Rattus norvegicus: one gene and its partner. The protein of the gene in region 2 purifies or fractionates together with the protein of the main gene of each other region. This does not show direct contact. Links are inferred from orthologs where the notes say so. Each region holds a gene or a part of one and is shown on either strand. Other genes may lie near its edges.

What was found. Proteins that work in one complex are often made in the same cells at the same time.
Region 1: the proteins of Nup133 (region 2) and Ahctf1 purify together in Homo sapiens (affinity purification with western blotting; 3 studies listed by BioGRID, with this or other methods). This does not show direct contact. The link is inferred for Rattus norvegicus from reciprocal best matches to the Homo sapiens genes NUP133 and AHCTF1.

The regions. Positions count from the first base shown.
Region 1 is NC_086031.1:94,015,838-94,020,993, forward strand, and holds part of Ahctf1 (protein ELYS), read right to left. Parts: coding exon 5,081-5,156; intron 1,556-5,080; coding exon 1,422-1,555; intron 450-1,421; coding exon 373-449; intron 1-372. UniProt on the Homo sapiens protein: Required for the assembly of a functional nuclear pore complex (NPC) on the surface of chromosomes as nuclei form at the end of mitosis. May initiate NPC assembly by binding to chromatin and recruiting the Nup107-160 subcomplex of the NPC.
Region 2 is NC_086037.1:68,831,677-68,836,832, forward strand, and holds part of Nup133 (nuclear pore complex protein Nup133), read right to left. Parts: intron 4,572-5,156; coding exon 4,453-4,571; intron 1,875-4,452; exon of another isoform or gene 1,755-1,874; coding exon 1,651-1,754; intron 1-1,650. UniProt on the Homo sapiens protein: Involved in poly(A)+ RNA transport. Involved in nephrogenesis.

The sequences.
Region 1 (5,156 bases), on a different chromosome or scaffold from region 2:
CATTAAGTCAACTGTATCACAGTTATGAATGAATTTGTACCTTCATTAACTTTAGCCATGCCCAAGAGAACAGCATGAGAATCCTGTTACGCAGAGATATCTCAAGTGACTCAGTTACTGCACGCGCAGTAATATTGCTAAGTAGTGGAATGAACAGCTGTGGACTTTAATTAAAGAGCAAACTATCGTCTCATCCAACCATGCCCAGTGGACAATAAACTGTAAGTCTTCACTCTGTGGAGAATGCTACCTTCAAGCGCTGAGCTCTACCAAGGCTAAGCAGCCAGGCATGTGTGGGAAGTGGCCTCACCTTTTCTACTAATTCCTCTCAGTCTAGGGAATGGACGGAGAGGATGGAGGGATGCTGCTTACCTGCTCACTTTTGTCTTCACAGTCCTGCTTCTTTTTGGTTTTTGTTCTATGATTTCTACTGGTTTAGGGTTACTCTCCTATGGATTAGAAATTTAAAAATATATATTGTTTAAGCAATAAAGACTTTTTTGATTTTCTAGACAGGGTTTCTCTATTTCTGTCTCTGTGTACCCATGGCTGTCCTGGAACTCATTCTGTAGACCAGGTTGGCCTCAAATTCAGAGGTCCACCTCCTGCTTTGCTTCCTAAGTGCTAGGATTAAAGACATGCACCACTACGTCTAGCTGTAATTAAACATTCAAAGTATTGATTTAAAAAGTATCCTGCTCAGACAAGGAGTCAAGTATTGCTAAAAACCCTTAGATCCTACCCAGACAGACCCCTCTGCCATGTTTCTGAACGCCTGCACCTGTTGCTTTTTCTGCCAGAGAGGTCTCTCTCCTCTTCTCCTGTGTCCACAGAGGCACTCGGGCAGAGATGGCTTTACTCAGCGCACTACTTAGATCTACTGTCTCTTTAATTTTAAGGGCCACGGTTTTTATTACTATTGGATTGTTTGTTTGCTGTTGAGATGCATCCCGGGCTGGCTGAGGACTAAGCACAGAGCAGGCTGGAACTGAACGCAGAAGGAGGGCCTCCTATCTCATCCTAATGGGTAACTAGAAAATTACTGCTGCTCTGTCTCGATGATAGCAAACCTGAGCCCTTGGACTTTTGATATAAATGTAAATTACCTTGCTTAAAAATATTTATTATTTTTATTTCATATGTATGAATATTGGGCATCCAGGAGGCTAGAAGAGAACGCTGGATCCCCCAGAAACTGGAGTTAGAGGATGGGAGCTGGGAACTGAGTCCTCTGCAAGAACAGCCAACATAGGGGGAAAAAATCCTTTTTATCTCAGCTCTCAGAAGCCTGAGGCAAGATCATGACTTCCAGACAATCCTGGGGTATATAGTCTACTTCAAACACACAAACAAACGAACAAACAAATAACCCAATAAGCACAGAGAGTTTTAATAAATATATATATCCATGCCTTCCTTACCAATTCACCTAGAAGCTTGGAAGCATTGGATGTACTTTTCTGCCTGGTTCTCAAGGCAGGAGGGGAAACCACAAACCGAGAAGATATATCTGACACCAATTCTTTCAGCTGGGCAGCGGCCTCCATGTTTTTAGCTAAAGACAAGTGAGAAACAAACAAAACATTGACCTGTAACTGTCTGGTTTAAAAACAACAAAAGGCAATCATACATGTGGCAGCAAAAATCCTGGAACAAATGGTGCACATTAGAAAGACAAAAACATCCAAAGACAATATAAGCATACAAATTTATCACCCATTATCAGGAGACAGAAGTGATGGCAAAAACTTCTCATTTAAGTAAGCCCACTCACTGTCCATGACTAGTTCACGCTTCAAAGTCAATGCCATCACATCATAAAGACGGGACCAGGAAGCACAAAGCTATTGCTCACAAGTTTGACCCTCAGCTCCTCTCATTATGAGCAATTAACTCTAATGGGGGCGGGGGGTGGGATGTGGAAAAGTTCACAAAGTTAAAGTTGCAAAATAGTAGGAGGTTATATACAACACAGATGACTAGTTTAGCCACCCCTATCTGAATCATACAAAGGAAAAAAAGAAGGACAAGCAATGGAGGAACTAGCTAGGAGGAAGGGGTCAAAGGGTAAGGGAGGAGAGCTAAGTATGATCAAAATGTCATATAAATATATGGAAATGTGAAGCAAAATAGACATAATTACTACATGCAAATGAAGGCATTTTTAAAAATAAAGTGCCCGGGTGTGGGGCCCCACCTGCTCAGAGGAAAAGGGTAGGGGGAAGAATGGTGGGAGGGGGTGAGAGGGAGAGGGGCAATGAGAGGGATGTAGAGTAAGTAATAAAAAAGAAATGTAGCATGCACTCTCCTTTGAACCTTTTAAATAGTACCTCAGAGCAAAGGTGCTGTGATTACAGAAGCAGCAGAGATTACATGCCACTTTGAACTCACTACCCGTGCCTCAGCTAATAAAGAGTACGATTATAAACAAGTTCTGTGTGATATGCCCATCACTAAGACACAAAGAGAGACAGACACAAATAGACTGCTGACCAACATCAGACATCAAATCTTACTAGTATGACTTTGGCTGGGCATGACGGCCTAGACTTATAGCTCCAGCAGGAGGTAGGGGTAAGAAAAACAACAGGATTGGGGTCCAGCTGGCCTGATCCTATCTCAACTAAAACACCACTACTCACCAAAAACCCAACAAACCCAAACTCCAACCAAGGCTCCTCTGACCTTTTGTGTGTGCACTCACAAAAGGAGAAGCAGGAGTGTGTCTACGGAGGTCAGAGGACAGCCTTCTGGGCTGGTCCCCAGGTGCCTTCCACCTTGGTTGACGCAGGTCTTTCACTGGGACTTTACACTAGGTCAGGCTACTTGGCTCTCAAGCATCCTGCCTCTCCCTTCCTTCCCCCATTGTTGGGCTGTGTACCACGCCGGTTTCCTATATGAATTGTGGGGATCCAAACTCAAGTCTTAAAGGTTGAGTATCAAGTGCTTTACTGACTGAGTCATCTCCCTAGCCCATGAAAGCCGTGGCTCTTAACAAGAGGAATGCACTGGCAGCATCAGACAACTCCACTACCAGTTTATGATTAACAGAAATTATACCTCAGGCCACTGATGGCAAGACACCCTTCCTACTGTAAAAATACAAATCAATATTCACAACGCTTTAGGCTACCTGGAGCAACATCATAATCGTCGGCTTCTCAGAGCACCTCGGTCTCCAGTTAAGCTCCTCATGTACTTCTAGGGCTAACAAGAGTTTAGCTGGGGGTTGGGGATTTAGCTCAGTGGTAGAGCGCTTGCCTAGCAAGCGCAAGGCCCTGGGTTCGGTCCCCAGCTCCAGAAAAAAAGAAAAAAAAAAAAAAAAAGAGTTTAGCTGGCAGTGGTGGTGCACGCCTGTAAGCCAAGCACTTGGCAGGCGAATCTCTGTGAGTTTGAGGCCAGCCTGGTCTACAGAGCTAGTTCTTAGGGCAGCCTGGTCTACAGAGCTAGTTCTTAGGGCAGCCAAAGAAAGCTACAAAGAGAAACCCTGTCTCAAAAAAAACCAAAAAGGAATTTAAGAATTTAGTATCATGTTCAACATGTTTGATCTATTTATTCATGGTTTCTTTCACATGCTTCTTTTAGGGCGTGCATGAAATTTCACCATCTGTGAGAAATGCCTCATCCATCTCTGCAAACTTTTGAAAAACACTTCAACAAACAGAACTACTTAGGACTAAAAGTAAAAAATTACAAGACAAATCCAGAGCTGGAAAACAGCTCTCTGGGAGAGGGGAAGCTCGTGTCTGCAGCACTAGCTACCTTTTGTGGTCATATGATTCCACTGTGGTCAACTTCAAACAAAATGAGACCCTGGCTCTCAAATTTCTCCAGTACCTCCGGCTACCTAATAAAAGGTGCCTAGTCTAATATAACACCAGAACCCTTAAAACATGAAAATATCCCACAGGAGGATGCTCAAGCACCCGAGGAATATTAGTGATATGAAATGTCACACGTGACCAAATTACAATGTCATATATGCTCAGGGCTTTGAAGACCCTAAGTATTTAGGACCAGGGACCGTGGAGCGAGAACTGTGGGTAAAATGCCTGTTGTGTAAGCACGAGGGGAGGACCTGCGTCCAGATCCTGGCACTCATGTGTAATGTTGGACAAAGGGTAAGTGTCGACATTTTCAGTACTGGGAGGCAAAAGAAAGTGGGATCGGGAGGGTCCGCTGACCAGCCAGTTTAGTCAATTGCTGAGTTCCAGGTTCACTGGAAGACACCAATGGTCGATCTTTGGCTTCCACAGAGGCTAGCAAACCTGCTCTAACCACATACCTCAACCATGGGTTTCTGAAAATGACCCTCAACTGTAGCATGTGGTTTAACACAGAGTCTTGCCAAACTGGTGGCCCAGCTGCCTCGGCCTCCTCACTGGGACTACAGGTGTACACCATGCTTGGCTTATTTCATTCATTCTTTAGTAAGACCGTCCATGTACTAAAGCATGGAGTATCTAATTTTCTATAATAGATGTTTATTCTTAATAGAAAAACAGCTATATAGAAATATGCTAACATGACAAAGAACACCTAAGGTGTCTGCTATGCTACTGTAAACTAACATAACATGAATGCTGTTTCTTAAACTTCAAGCACTGTTTGGCTCAAAGGACTTTTCCTTAAAACACAACAAAAAATTATATTTAAAGGGAAACAGAATGAAGTCACTTAGATATAAAGACCGAGGAAAGAGGACAAAATAGGACCTGTGTCAAATGGACTGGGACACAAAGAATCTGGACAATCGACAATCTGAAAGTCAACAAACTTTTAGAGCAATTTTATCTGATTGGCTCTGTTTGTGTGTGTGCTGTCTTTTAATCACAATTTTTATTTAAGGAAAAATATAAAAATATTTAGTGCTTCAACTCAAGTAATTAACTCAAATAGTGCTTTTTTTTTTTTTTTTGGTTCTTTTTTTCGGAGCTGGGGACCGAACCCAGGGCCTTGCGCTTCCTAGGTAAGCGCTCTACCACTGAGCTAAATCCCCAGCCCCTCAAATAGTGCTTTTAAACCACCAAATCTTTAGGCTGTATATTCTAAGAAAGATAAAAATGAATAAACTAAATACCTTTTGTCTCTTTCTTTGGCACCTTCAATGAAGGGGAGGAAAGCAAAGGCTCAGTTTGGGGCTCAGAAATGTCCGT
Region 2 (5,156 bases):
TCTGATCCTCTGCAGACTCCATGAGTCCATCCTGAACACTATCCCACAATAGCCTTTCTATTCTCAGCTCTTTCTGACCAACAACAAAGCCAGGGATACTAAACTGGACTTCTATATGAACTAGCCTGTGCTTGTGCCAGGCCAAAGGTTCTATTGTACAAGTGGTTCTCAGCCTTCCTAATGCTGTGATCCTTTAAGGCAGTTCCTCATGTTGCAGTGACCCCCAACCATGAACTTATTTCATTGCTACTTCAAAACTGCGATTTTGCTGTTGTTAGAAATCATAATGTAGGGACTGGAGAGATGGCTCAGTGGTTAAGAGCACCCGACTGCTCTTCCAGAGGTCATGAGTTCAATTCCCAGCAACCACATGGTGGCTTACAACCATCTGTAAAGAGATCTGATGCCCTCTTCTGGTGTGTCTGAAGACAGCTACAGTGTACTTATATATAATAAATAGATAAATCTTTAAAAAAAAATCATAATGTAAATATCTGATATGAGACCCCTATAGGGTCATGACCCACAGGTTGAGAACCACTGGGCTAGGGGAAGTGGCCAGGTTTCCAGCAAAACTTTGCTAGCTGAGGTAATAATTTATTTGACTTGTAAAACTATTATAGCCATAGAGAAATTACACCAAGGTCTCCAAGGTTGAAAGCACCCTCTCAAACGTGGTGCTGGGCTTTCACTAAAACGTAGAAAGCACTCAGTTAACAGACAGAGCTGATCCTTCAGAAGAACCTCAACTGCAAGGAAGAGAGCACTGAGCAGCTTGTAGCATCAGAGAACAGTGTGAAAGGATAAATGAGAGGAGACGCCACCATGGCTAGGTGAGCTCACGGAAACGTGGCCCTGAGGGCCACCAACTGGAGTTCAGAGCAGGCCAGATGAAGTGCAATAAATTATAACTTGGTGTTATCAATAGGAAAATAGATTTTTAATACCACGGAGGGCAGACATCTGCCCAGCTCTCGTGCTGATTAAGGCTTGTTCTAAATATAAAGGTTGTGTGTCTTTTATCCAGGAACTCAATGGCCAAAGGCAGGGTAGAAACCCTGGACTGGAATCAAAATTTTCTACAACAATAGCCCAGAGCTCAGAGACAGTAGTGTCTCAAGTGCATGTTCATTTCTTTTGACCTGTAATCAATGGGTCTTTGGAGAAGGAAAAAAAAAAAAAAAAAACTAAAGATATCAATAAAAATAAAATATTAAAAGAGAAGATTTTGCAACACACTATAGATGTACATTCAGTATTTAATTATCCTGCTTTTTTATTTACTTAAAAATCTGGTGGTTTTCTTTAATTTTCTTTCTTTCTTCTATCCTTCCTTCCTTCCTTCCTTCCTTCCTTCCTTCCTTCCTCCCTCCCTTCTCACTGTATGCCTGCTCTGCTGCACGTACACTCACAGGCCAGAAGAGGACATCAGATCCCCTTACAGATGGTGAGCCACTGCGTAGTTGTTGGGAATTAAACTCAGAACCTCTAGAACTCTTCACCACTAAGCCATCTCACAAGCTCCCATATCCTGAATTCTCAATGCTTGCACAGACTGACTGGCTGTCCTCATAAACTTCAAAGAATAAAGGTGCAAATAAAGAGCCAGCTGGGATCCCTTTCCCGACTGGGTATCTGAAGGGCTATTACCTTAGTCACAGGGGACATAGCAATCTTCCAAACGAGGAGCTTCTCTTTGCATACTAGGCAGGCCCACCCACCTTCATCGACGTGGACAGAGAGCTGGTCGTCAGCTGAGGGGATAAGGCACACAGTTCACCCCATATCCAGACCACGAAAAAGTCGTTTCATCTCCTTATAGCAACATCTTTTTACCACATTAGTCACCAAGACAGGAAGCTGCATTACGGCTCCTGCAGAGGACCAGGGTTTGGTTACCAGCATCTACACAGTGACACACAGCCACCTATGACTCCAGTTCTAGTACCAGCATCTACACAGTGACACACAGCCACCTATGACTCCAGTTCTAGTACCAGCATCTACACAGTGACACACAGCCACCTATGACTCCAGTTCTAGTACCAGCATCTACACAGTGACATACAGCCACCTATAACTCTAGTTCTAGAGGAGCCAATCGACCCTTCTGACACCCACAGGTTCATAATCACACATGGTACACATATATACTTAGGCATACACAGAGGCAATTATCATAATATATTATTAAAATTAATTTAAAAATGCAAGTCACATAACTTCCAAATATTTAAGATTAATCTATCAAAAATGAGTTATTTAGTTCTGATAATTACTGTTAGAAATATATCCAAAGGCAAAAATTATTAGAGTATATGTTTAATACTCTTTAATTTTTGTTACAAAGAATATTTTTTTCTTAATTTTTTTTAAGATTTATTTTATATATATGAGTACACTGTCACTATCTTCACATACAGAAGAGGGCATCAGATCCCATTACAGATGGTTGTGAGCCACCATGTGGTTGCTGGGAATTGAACTCAGGACTTCTGGAAAAGGAGTCAGTGCAGTTAACCACTGAGCCATCTCTCCAGCCCTATTATAAAGAATCTTAGCTAGGCATGGTAGCACATGCCTTTAATTCCAGCACTCTGGACGTAGAGGCAGGTGGATCTCTTTTGAGTTTGAAGTCAGTCGGGTCTAACCCTCAAAAACCAGAGACAATTTTACTTCTGTAAGAATCACTTATAATTTGATAAACCAAACAATAACCCTCTTATTAACAACTATTTTCAAAGAAATTACCACATTCCTCCAAAAGAATATAATGTTCAAATAGAGCTCCTTAAAGATATGGTAAATCATTTCATCATAAGGAAACACAAGAGCATTGTTTACTATGGGAAAAAGTAAGTCAATTTACCACTGTGTCTAGGGAGTGGGGGTGAGCCTTCATAAATGTGTTCACAGCCTTGAGAATCTTATTTGAGCTTTGCTCTTTGCTTTTAGACAAGGTGGCAGTGCAAAGCACACAGCACTGGAAAGGAACATGCTAACTGTGTAAACATGCCCGAGCTGTGCAGGACTTTCTGCTGACCTGGAGCCCCTGTGCAGGAGTGTTCAGCCCCCACCCCATGCAGGTCTGACCCAACATTAGATGTGGTCAGACCTGCAATGTAGACAAGTTCTTCAAGTCTACACTGCTCTTGTCTGTAGCTCTCAACTTCTTGGGATTCCCTCCTGAATCCCTAGAGGGAGGCTACGTACTGTTTAAACACAGACATGGCATGACCCAGAAGTATGGTCAGAGATTTAAACTCAGTAAGAATTAAACATTTCAGGGTGACAAAAAGAGAATGAAGTGGGGGAAGGCAGGTGGAGGAGGACACAGGGCAGAGAGTAGCAGTGTGAGCATCACCATACCAAAAGCCTAAGGACTGGCAGCCAGGGTGGCTAAGCTGAGGGACAGTAAACGGTCCTTTACAACAGGACATTTTATCCTCGGCTACTCAGTGGGTAAGTGCCCACAGCTCAGGCTTCATGATCTGAGAGCTGCCCTCTGACCCCAACATGCTGGGACTGAACAGACCTTGAGTGATGTGACACACACAAATATAAAAGTTTTAAGTTAAAATGCTGAGAGATGGCTCAGTGGTTAAGAGCACTGACTGCTCTTCCAGAGGTCCTGAGTTCAATTCCCAGTGCCCACATGGTGGCTCACAACCATCTGTAATGGGATTGATGCCCTCTTCTGGTGTGTCTGAAGACAGGCACATGTATACTCACATACATAAAATACAGTTTTTAAAAAATGCTAAGATGCATTCTAAAACTTTGTCTCCCTTCAATGCTTGTCATGACCACCGAAGCCATTTCAGTCACAACCTGTAGTTTGCCAAACATCGTTCTAGAAAAATGCAAAGGTCCAGTAGACCTGTTAATGAAGCGACTTGGGCTGACATGATGGCATCTTGGTCTGCCCTTCCCTGTTTCTCTCTTCTTTCCCTGTGATTGACGCCTCCCAACTCTTGCATCATCTTTATGCCAGCAGAGGCTTTAAAGATATGATAATAACCCAATACTGACTTAATAACAACCCAATGAGTCTACCACATGACTTGTAGGACACGAAACCCCATAGGCCTGTCACATGACTTATGGGACACTACACAGCACTCAGAACCCAGAACTGGAGGCAGAACTTGACTCTAAAACACTATTTAATCTAACAACGCAAGGTACTGCACTTTGGATGATTCTATAGCTAAATTCCCTATATCTAATCAACTCAAAAGTTGGGGATATAAGGGACTGAAGTACACACATCGTTCTTAGAATCACTGGTGTAACTGTGTTAGAAAGATTCACTCAGCTTCACAGACCAGTGTCTTAGGGATGAGGAGAACTCAGCAGGCTGCCTACTTCTCTACCAGACAAAGCCAAAGTGTTATCACATGTGACCTGGTTATTGACCAATATGGGGACAAATGAAAAGACAACACCTACCCTCAGCCATCGCCAGGGCTTCCATGATCTTAACAGGGAGCGATGATCCAAACACTCTCACGTCATAGTTCACAGACTCTGATATGGAGTGGTAGGGGAATATCCGAGTAGGCGTTCCTCTAAAGAAAGAGACCATGTTGGATCACCTGTCACCAAAAATTCCCCATTATCCTTGCCTTTACACACCTATTCCAGCTACCTCTGATGAGGTGTAACGGTGAAAGACACCAGCCTGACTGTACTGTACAGTAGAACTCACGGAACTGTCTACCTCTAATGAGGTGTAACGGTGAAAGACACCAGCCTGACTGTACTGTACAGTAGAACTCACGGAACTGTCTTATTTTGCTTCCCATTGCTGTGATACAGACCATGAGCAAAGCAACTTGAGGAGGAAGGAATTTATTTCATATTTCCAGGTCACTGCCCATCACTGAGGGATGTCACGGCAGGAAGTCGCCCAAAGCAGGAACTGAGGCAGGGCCATGGAGGAATGGTCTTTCCTGGTTTGCTCAGTTTGCTTCCTTATATACTCCAGGGCTACTTGCCAATGGATGGCACTGCTCAGTGGGTCAGGCCCTTCTATATCAATCACCAATAAAGAAAATCATCCCCAAAGGCAAGCATGTGGGGACATTTTCTTTCTTTAAAGATTTATTTATTTTATGTACACGAGTAAGCTGTTGCTAACACACCAGAGAAGG